2 linked regions of the Arabidopsis thaliana genome follow. The protein of the gene in region 2 interacts with the protein of the main gene of each other region in a pairwise test. Each region holds a gene or a part of one and is shown on either strand. Other genes may lie near its edges.

Region 1 (3,828 bases), on a different chromosome or scaffold from region 2:
TTTTTTTTTTTTGAATATGTTTGTTTTATTACTATCAAATTTAAATTCGAATTTAATCTTATGTTTGGAGTAAAAAACGAACTGCGTCGTTGTCGTAATCCACATGCAACCCATATATCTACCGTATAAAAAATATGGAGTCTATAGTATGAATTAAATTTAGATTTTTTTTTTTATCAACCATATATTAATTAAAAAATAACTCCATGATAAAATTTAAAAATTTAAAAATTTTATTTATCATAAGATTTTTCACAATTTGTCACATACTTTATATTAAAGATTTATGTTATATATAAAAAAAGGATACGGATTTACATTTAATACACTCAACAAAACCAGCACCAATTCTACATGACTGAGAACATTTTTGTAGAAAGCGATAAGTAAACCATGACATCGCTTCATAATAATTGGTAGATAGGAGCACCACAGTTTTATTTTATTTGTCACAACAAAACAACAATTGCATATGCAAAAAAAAAAAAAAAGAAGAAGAGAGGTGTTGGTGCATGGTGATTACTATTTAAAATATAATTTTTTATATTTTAAAGTACTATATATATAAATATTTTTTGATCTCTAATCACAAAAGATGATATCAATAATATGATACAATCATTCATTTATAATTAGTCAAGATCATGACTTTTCTTGAATTTCCAAGACTGTTCTGACAATTCTATTTGTGAATAAGTTTTTTTTTTGTTTTTTTACTTCGAAGTAAAGACTTGTTTCACTTGTCGCATAATCATAATAAAATTCCATACGATTTGTTTTTCATAAATAATTTATAGACATAGAAACACATTTATATACTGCTTCCTACCGTTGAGACAATCTCAGAGAGAGGAACCAAAACAACGAAAGGTCCAAACCTTGATAAACATTAACATACTTATCTTCTTCTTAACTAAAATATTTACCCACAAATTAATAAAACAAAACCCTAGTTTTTTTGGGTTTGCGCTTCAGTTGATCTGAACAGTCCACGTCATTCAGACTAAAAAAGGTAAGCCGACGGTCACGATGTATCCACGTCATCATCACCACACAAAAATTTCCCCAAAAAAGAAGAGATTTTTAATCGAAAGAGTGATGATGATGGTCGAAGAAATGATCCACATCCCATGGAGAAGACTCGAAATCATCAATCAAACCAAACTCGAAATCTTCAGTTTCGTTTTCTCCTTGTTTCGAAACCTCTGTGTTTGGTAACAACGTTGATTGGATTTTGGTTTCTTCATCGAGAAACAAAAGGTCAGGGGCAATTTCGGTATCCCAAAAACATTCGCCGGCGAGAGATAAATCCGGTAACAGATACGGATCCGGGAACACCAAACCCGCCGACGATTCTTCTTCTTCTTTTATAACCGTCGACTTTCTCTCCGGAGATAGCTCGATCGCTTCAATCTCATGCTCTGTTTCCTCGTTGACGTTGAATCTTAGAACAGAGGTCGGTGAATGAAGGCTCTGCCGAGAATCTCTACCGTAATCGCAGGCGGAAACCGTTTGGAGATCGATAACCGGCGTTGGCGTCGGCGGAGTTAGGAAATTCGTGAGCGCTTTAGGTCCTTTGAGATGAATCGCGGCTCTATCGTACGCTATAGCAGCTTCCTCCGCCGTGACAAAAGTCCCAAGCCAAATCCGAGTACGGCTCGACGGATCTCTAATCTCCGCCGCGAATTTTCCCCAAGGTCTCTGTCTCACGCCTCTGTACTTTTTAGGCTTCACCGACGTCGACACGTCATCTTCAACCACTACGCTTTCCTCCTCCTTGTGCTTACCTTTCCTCGCCGCGGTGGAGGAAGAAGATTCACCTTGGCAGAATCTAATCTCCTTCACGTATCGTTTCACTCTTGGAACCACCGTGACGTTGTTGTTGTCGTCGTCGTCGCTAGACGAGTCAGTAGCGAAAGGATCAGTAACAGTGATACGGACCAGTCTCGGAGACCCGTTAGATGGTGTAGCTGCTACGTTTGTGACCGTACGATTCTCTGTGAACTTCACTCGTCTCGTTCGTCTCTCCATAGAGAGAGAGAGAGAGAGGGAGTTAAAAAATGAAGAGAGGTTTTTTTCACTGTTTTGAATTTGCAGAGAGAGAGAGAAGAAGAGTCAAAAGGTTAAAGAAGAATCGCCGTTTCTCAGGAACATCCTTCTTAAATACTATTAACTCATCACTATTTTTGGAGATTTTTGTTTAGTAACGTGATTTTTTCTATGTAATTAATTTAATTAGATTTTAACTGTTACAGAGAAATTGATGCGTGTTCAACACTATTCATATGATATGAGACACTGACCCAATCAAAACTCATTCAACCTTATAACTAAACGTATCTTAAAATATAGTTGGTGAAATGACATACGTTTATCAAAGCTTAACCTATTGAAATTTAATCCGGTTAATGGAGTTTATAAACCGGGAATTAGATTTGGATTTAATGTAAAGAGGGACGATGCTTAAGGGCGGTTTCGTGGCGGCCAATGGGGGATCCAGAAACGGCTTTCCGCATCTCAGATTGAGACGTTAGATTTATGACACGTGGTAGTTACCGTACCGAAAGTAGAGCCAATTGTCCTAATCTATAGCTTGGTCTCCAAGCAACTTTTAACTCTTTTACGCGCGGTCTGTTTTACGTTTGCTACACGCGCCGGCTAGTGGGCTCCACGCGTGTGAGATTGGTCACGAGTATGTGTCAATTCGCATTGACCCAATATGGAAATTGTGAAGTTTAATGGTAATGAATCTAACGATGTGTTTGAAAGAGTAATAAAATCTCGTCTTTAATATTAAAATATATTTTTAATTTCGGAAAAAATTTATGATCTTTTGCTTGGAGACCAAGTCTCTTATCAGAAACTTTATTAGAAAAAGCTACTATTAAAAAGGTAACTAGAAATTAGATTTCCATAGTTAATGGTTGAGCTTTGACTAGATTTGGTCCTAAAATAATAATTGAAAAATAAGCTTTTATTATATCGATAATTCTACAAGTTAATATACCAAATCTTGTAACTTACAGTAATTCTATATTGTTTTATTTTGAACCTTATATAACTTACACGAATTCACCTGTGATTTTATAAAAAGATACATGTGATTTCAAGACTTTTTTTTTACGTGGGATTAGTCAGGTACTCGTGTTAAAAGTTAGACCTTAAAAATAACAGTCAGTTTGATTTAATAATAGTTAGTAGTATGTATATGGAACATTAAGTCGGAGAGGGGTTAAACTCTAGTGTATCGGGTTGCTTGGCATGGAACAGATATCGCGGAACCGGTAAGTCGGAGTGGTTAGCTTTCTGGGAGAGTTGTGGTGGGTTGGTGCGACGGCGGAGATAGGTGCAGATGGAAACCGGAATCTTCCAGCTGCGTTTCTCGATCCGTCGTCTGCGGCCGCAAAGCTGTGATGCTTGAGTCCGCCAGATATAAGGCTCCGACCACTCTGCTTCCGACCAGCAGCAAGGTTCGAACCTCTTTGTTTGTCGGTGACTTTTTCTGTTTAACCTATTTTGTAACTGGATTTCATCTGTGTATTGGGTCTTAGCCCATGCCCTATTGGGTTGTTTTTAATATATTAAAAAAAAAAAAATTGTATATGGAACATTAAATTGCATGACATTCGTTAGGATAGTCGTAGTAGGTACTACTTTTACTAGGTAGAGACTAGAGAGTGGTCTCTCTTAAATTGTCTAATATGGTTTTGTATACTTTTTGATCCAAACATACATACATAAAAAAAGAAGATGTTAGCAAACCTTAGTAAATAATTCCATCATCTCCTCCGTCAGGAACCCGTCATTTTCATATACCTCACTTTGCAT
Region 2 (5,624 bases):
GATTACATGGCCCCACTGTGTCCACCGGTGCCACAAGTTGCTTATTTCATGAAGAACCCTAAAGATGCCAAAGGTGTTCTTGTGAGGATTGGCTTGGACCCACGAGATGTTAATGGCTTTTCAAATCATTTCCTTGATTGCTAATATATTAGCTGGTGATAATTAATTAATTAGTAGAATCTTTGTGGTAGTATACAGTATGATAATGGCTCCTCTATATGCATGCGTGTGCGCTAAAGACACTTTATTGTAATTGGGTTATGATGATGTATAATTTAATGACATCTCTCTGCTTTGTATTTGTTGTCGTTATCACTTTTATACTCATTTCGTGATAGGCTTTATTTTCTTCCAGAATTTCTGGATAAATAATTATAAAGTTATGTTTCTTTGTAGACTTTTTTCTTAAGGTCGCCAATGTTGGGTGGTTGACACCTAAGCCAGGTTATTGGGCATATGGGGCCGATTTAGGCTGGTAGTACAAATCATTGTACTACTTTGATTCTAACGTTATTTTGCACTTAGACACGAAGACTTTGACTTCCTCTTCAAAACACCTTTACATTTGTAGCAAAGAGGGTACTTTTTGAATTTTATTTATGGATTTGGATCTTCCTAAGTTGCTCAAACCAGTGGGGGAGCGGTAAACAATAGCTTACACTTTCATTACAGAGAAGAGAGAAGAGACAGAACCAAAAGATAATAATAATTGATTGTGTCTGAATAAAACAGGTTTCTCAAGCTGACAAAGAAAAGGGAAAATGGAGTTTCTCGTATGCATGTTCCGAGTGAGCTAAACCATCCAAATCCCAATCACCTTCCGAGAAATCAGATTGGCTCTGTTCCTGTTACAGTCAAAGTAACAAATCTTCAGAAATCTCCAAAAGAATAAGGTGCAAAAAGTAAATGGTTTTTATTGTATACAATACCTGTGTCATTAAGGAATTGACTATATCATCTAAGGAACCAGCATCAGAAGCCATCAAACCACTCTGAAGCTTCTGTTGTCCCATGAGTAAACCTTCGTTTGGATTGCTACTTCTAAACAGTTGAGCTTCTGTCACTGGACCTGAGTTGTTTGCAGGCTGCTGATTCATCTGTAATGGATAAAAGAAGTCTGTTTGTGCAGCATTTGTGGATCCAAAACCCGTGTTTCTGCAGAGAGATGCCGGATTTGTATCCAGGTTTGGGTTTACTAGCGGACTAGCTGAGTCGCAGAACGCATTCCATTCCAAGGTGTCAGGTTTTGAATGAACATCACTCTGTGGAATGTTGGTTGACAATGCAGCGTTTGACCAATGTTCTAGACGCTTGCTGATCTCGAAATGAGGAGAAAAACCCGGGTTTGAGGGTAAAGATGATGACTGCGGGTTACCCTCGAGAAGTAACAGATTACTGGGAGCTACCATTGGAGAGTTTTGTTGTGAAGTAAAGCTTGGAAAAGCCCTGTTGATGTTGTTGTTGATCTGAAGCTCTTCTAGCGGCAAACCCTGAAGTATGTTTCCTCCATCATTATGGTTACGAGGAAACGATGATGAGACTGGTTGGAACATTCCTGCTCCAAGGGAATTCAGACGACCAAGATTCCTATTTGAAGAGTAATGCCTCATCATTGTGGTTCCACCATGGAACTGACCGGATCCAACAGGTATTCCGCGGTGGTGGTGGTAGAAGCCACCAAGTCCTTTCTGAGAATTCATTTGCATAAAATGTGAGTCAATAGCCGCCCTGTTAGCTTGTTGAATGGCGTCATCAGACACCTTCTTCAGAGCAACGCGGAATTTCTGCAACCAAAAGACATTACAAATGTGTTTAATGGAATCATACATATATCAACACTAACAGATCAAATCTGAAGAATCATAGTCTAACTCTCACCTGAAGGTGGCTTGCAACATTCTCTCTAGTGAGTTTGTCAACATTCATCAGATCTAGAATCTTTTTTGGAACAGCTCCTGCATCATCAATACTTATAAATCAGAACATGATTCACAGCTAAATGAAAACTAGAGGTAGAGAGATCAAGAAACATTACTCTCAACGCCTAAATGATCAACAGCTGCTAGGAATTTATTGTGCAGCTCATGCGTCCAAAGAACACGAGGCTTCTTCTGCGCCGTTGGATCATCATTATCATTCCCTCTTTCTTCCTCTTCCTCCTCTTCATACTGTTCTTTACGTTTTCTGTTTGCTTTATCACAGTTTCCTGAACCATTACTCACATTGCTCTTATTCTTCTTAAGTTTGCTCTTTCTCACAACATGTTGCCATATGTTCTTAAGCTCCTCAATTCGAACCGGTTTAAGCAGATAATCACAGGCACCGTGCTTGACTCCTTTCATCACATACTTTGGATCGCTATGCGCAGATAACACTGCAAGAATTCAATCATCATGTTAAAGATTCAAACAGTCAAATCTGTCTAACGATCAAAACTTTCTCTAGGAACTATGAACTAGAACAAGGAGAGCTGCATACTTATGACAGGTAAGTCCATTTCAAGACCAACAAGCTCAAGCAGCTTGAAACCATCCATGTCTGGCATGTCGACATCGCTAATAACAAGATCAAACTTATTCTTGTTCTCCCTCAACAACTCCAATGCGGTCTGTGCCTGATTCGTTGTTGTAACTGCACATTACAATAATAATAATCACCCACAAAGTTTCAGTTTTGACTCATTCAAAAGTAGTAAAGCAAGAACCAATGGCTCTGTGACACATGGGGAGCAATCAAATATGTAATAATTCCCCAAAGTCTCAATTTTTACAGAACAAGAGACTGTTTCAAATCGAACGAACAAGAACCAATGACCTTTGAAACACAAGTGAAGCAACAAAATCTGAAGCATGGATTTTTAAAAGTAAAAAAATATGCAGAGAGTGAATCTAGCTAATATAGTCTTAATTGATTCTTCAAGCTCGTCTTCAAAAATATAAAAATCTAGAGAGGAATCGATTTATGGTGTTATGACAAGAAACGAATCTGATGTTAAATTTTGTAGCTTAACCAAATCCAAAATCTAGAAAACATCAAGAAATTTGGTATTAAAAAAAAACAAAGAGAGAGAGAGAGAAGGAACCAAACCGTGATATTGGCAGCGCTGAAGCAAAGTCTGGAGAATACGGAGACAAGTCTGGTCATCGTCAACAGCAAGAACTCTCATCCCAACCGGAAACTGGTCCAAGACTTCAATTTCTTGCTCCATAGTCATCGCCGTCAAAGATTATGAATTGAAGTAGAAGAACAAACAAAGTTCGGATTATTATTATTAGTAGAGAAAGAGACAAAAAGTTGTATGGCAGAGTAAAATTTTCTTCTTTGGCAAAAGAGAATCTAAGACTACATATGGTTTCTGAAAACTCTGTAATGATCTTCAAGACTGGCGAATTAACTCATTTATGGAATTCTCTTTTCAAATTTTAATCATTTCTGGTAAATTTTCTTTTTGACATAAGAAAAAAACAAAAAACATTTTCAGAGGAGAATCTCTGAGAAAATTCAGTGGAACCGATCGGTCATTTGAGCGTGATAATCACGCGCCACCTTTTTTAAATTAGTTTGGTTTCTTTTGACTGTGGGAATAATATTTTTTAGTTTAGTGATAATTAATTGAAAAGGAAAGAGGATCATAATATTTTTTTTTTTAAATGGATAAAAATGTGAAAGTGTTTATGTAAATGATTCTGCAGATCATGTAATTAATTTAGAGATATGTTTGTGATATTGTACCAAGTATTCAAGGCAGGAAAGAAGAATTTGAGTTATTACCATAACTTCAAAAAGAATTGAATACTTTCCTTAATCTGTGTCTTAAGGAATGGACAACTAAGTTGAGTATCTCATAAAACGGATTTACCATAAGAATTAGTGCAAATTATGGTATTATGATTTTAAAATATGTAAAAGAAAGAAAAAAAAAGACAGGCTTTAGTGAGAGCATGCATGGTGAAAGTTGGGAAGTGCGAGACACGCGTGACCGTGGTTCATGGCTTTTTCGCTTATCTCGTACAGGTTCTGAAAGATTTAGCAAAATTAAGTATCCCATAGTAACGACCAATAATGGCTAATGCCGATATTATTCAAACCTAAGACAAGACTATTTTTAACGTCAGAGAAAGACTTTTAAAATTGATGAAAAAAAAAAAAAAAAAAGACTTTTAAAATTTACACCATTACTTGGATAATTTTACACTCTTACCATATGAAATTAATTTTAGGAATATGTATAATCAAGAAACACATGTTACAATGGTTCACAATGTTTATAAAACTTTCAAGTCAACAAATTAAACTCATAGCACGATATTTATCACCGACCAAATGTATCGTACGCTCGAATTAAACTTTGAAGTCAACAAAGAAAACTGCTGTCACAAGTCTATTGTTACATGATATTAGTCATTGAATTTAGTTGTTAACTACAAATTATATATTATTTATTTATTTGATTGTCCGTTTAAATTTAGCAAAATACATTTATATAACTATGACAAGACAAAAAAAAGCCATAAAACAAAAGGCAAGAATTTCTTGAAGTTGGGTTCCATCCGCATCTTCAGCCTACAAGCTTGGTGGGTGCAAAATAAGATCCCAATGATTTTATTATAGTTTATGAATTAATTTTGTATGATTTCTTGGATTAACCACACAGCGTGTTCATTTCCGTGCCTCTCCTTTTCTTATAGAAAATAGCGTACTTCGGATCAATAATATGTTTTGGCTAGCTTATTAACATAAAAAAATAAAACATTATTACAATTATGCATCGTTTTTATTAATGTAAAATAGGTTATCAGTTAGTTTTGTTTTCCAAATTAGAATCATAAGGTTTAATAAAAGTATCACCAGCATAAGATTTACTAAAAAAAATGCAAGATCTAGAAAGAGATCCTAAATGACTTTTTGAATCTAGCCTAAGAACCTTCTACAAATCTACGATAATTTATTTAGTATATGAAGAAAATTAGAGAAAAGTTGTATTCTCATTGTCTTGTGACAAAGCCTTGATAAACCTAGAATAAAAGAATACAGAACTAGATTTTACGATTTTAAAAGAACATCAACATATGTTCGATGCAATGCATTGGAAAATAAAGGACAACTTTCTAATACAAATCATTATCATTAGCTCTTCCAATTTTATTTTATTTTGTGTGTGTGTATGTTAAATAGTTGCAGATGACATTAGAGAGATTAAAGAAATCAGTTTTCTAGAAGATCCATGTAAACATCAAATCTGTAAAGATTCTACTTCTTAATAAGTTATTGGAAGTCACTTGTCATTAGCTAATACCTACTGTCATTGGCTTATGGTCTCATATAGGATACACACATGTATATTAGTATATAGTATATATCTATTCACATTTAAATATGAGAAATTAACAGCAACACTTTGGTGTAATGTTTAATTTTAAGAAAAATAATTAAAGAGAAAGATGCTGATAAAAATAATAATAAAAAGAAAGAAAATAAGTAATAATAAAATGGAGGAGGAAAATCAAGATTAGCCAAAAATTGAGGTAATCTTGTCTCCCACAAGGGCTAACCACACCGGTCATAAAATATGCTTCTTGTTCGGTTGCTTCCTAATCACTTCCTACTCTATTACTCTTACTAGA

Evidence for each region.
Region 1: the proteins of RR10 (region 2) and CRF6 interact in a protein complementation assay, tested with the Arabidopsis thaliana proteins (one study listed by BioGRID).

The regions. Positions count from the first base shown.
Region 1 is NC_003074.8:22,803,477-22,807,304, reverse strand, and holds CRF6 (cytokinin response factor 6), read right to left. Parts: upstream 2,126-3,828; 5' UTR 2,032-2,125; coding exon 1,084-2,031; 3' UTR 778-1,083; downstream 1-777.
Region 2 is NC_003075.7:15,443,553-15,449,176, forward strand, and holds RR10 (response regulator 10), read right to left. Parts: upstream 3,491-5,624; 5' UTR 3,215-3,490; coding exon 3,088-3,214; intron 2,632-3,087; coding exon 2,479-2,631; intron 2,375-2,478; coding exon 2,036-2,374; intron 1,956-2,035; coding exon 1,879-1,955; intron 1,785-1,878; coding exon 930-1,784; intron 846-929; coding exon 738-845; 3' UTR 501-737; downstream 1-500. Other genes in the region: BAT1 (HXXXD-type acyl-transferase family protein), read left to right, coding at 1-144. UniProt on the Arabidopsis thaliana protein: Transcriptional activator that binds specifically to the DNA sequence 5'-[AG]GATT-3'. Functions as a response regulator involved in His-to-Asp phosphorelay signal transduction system.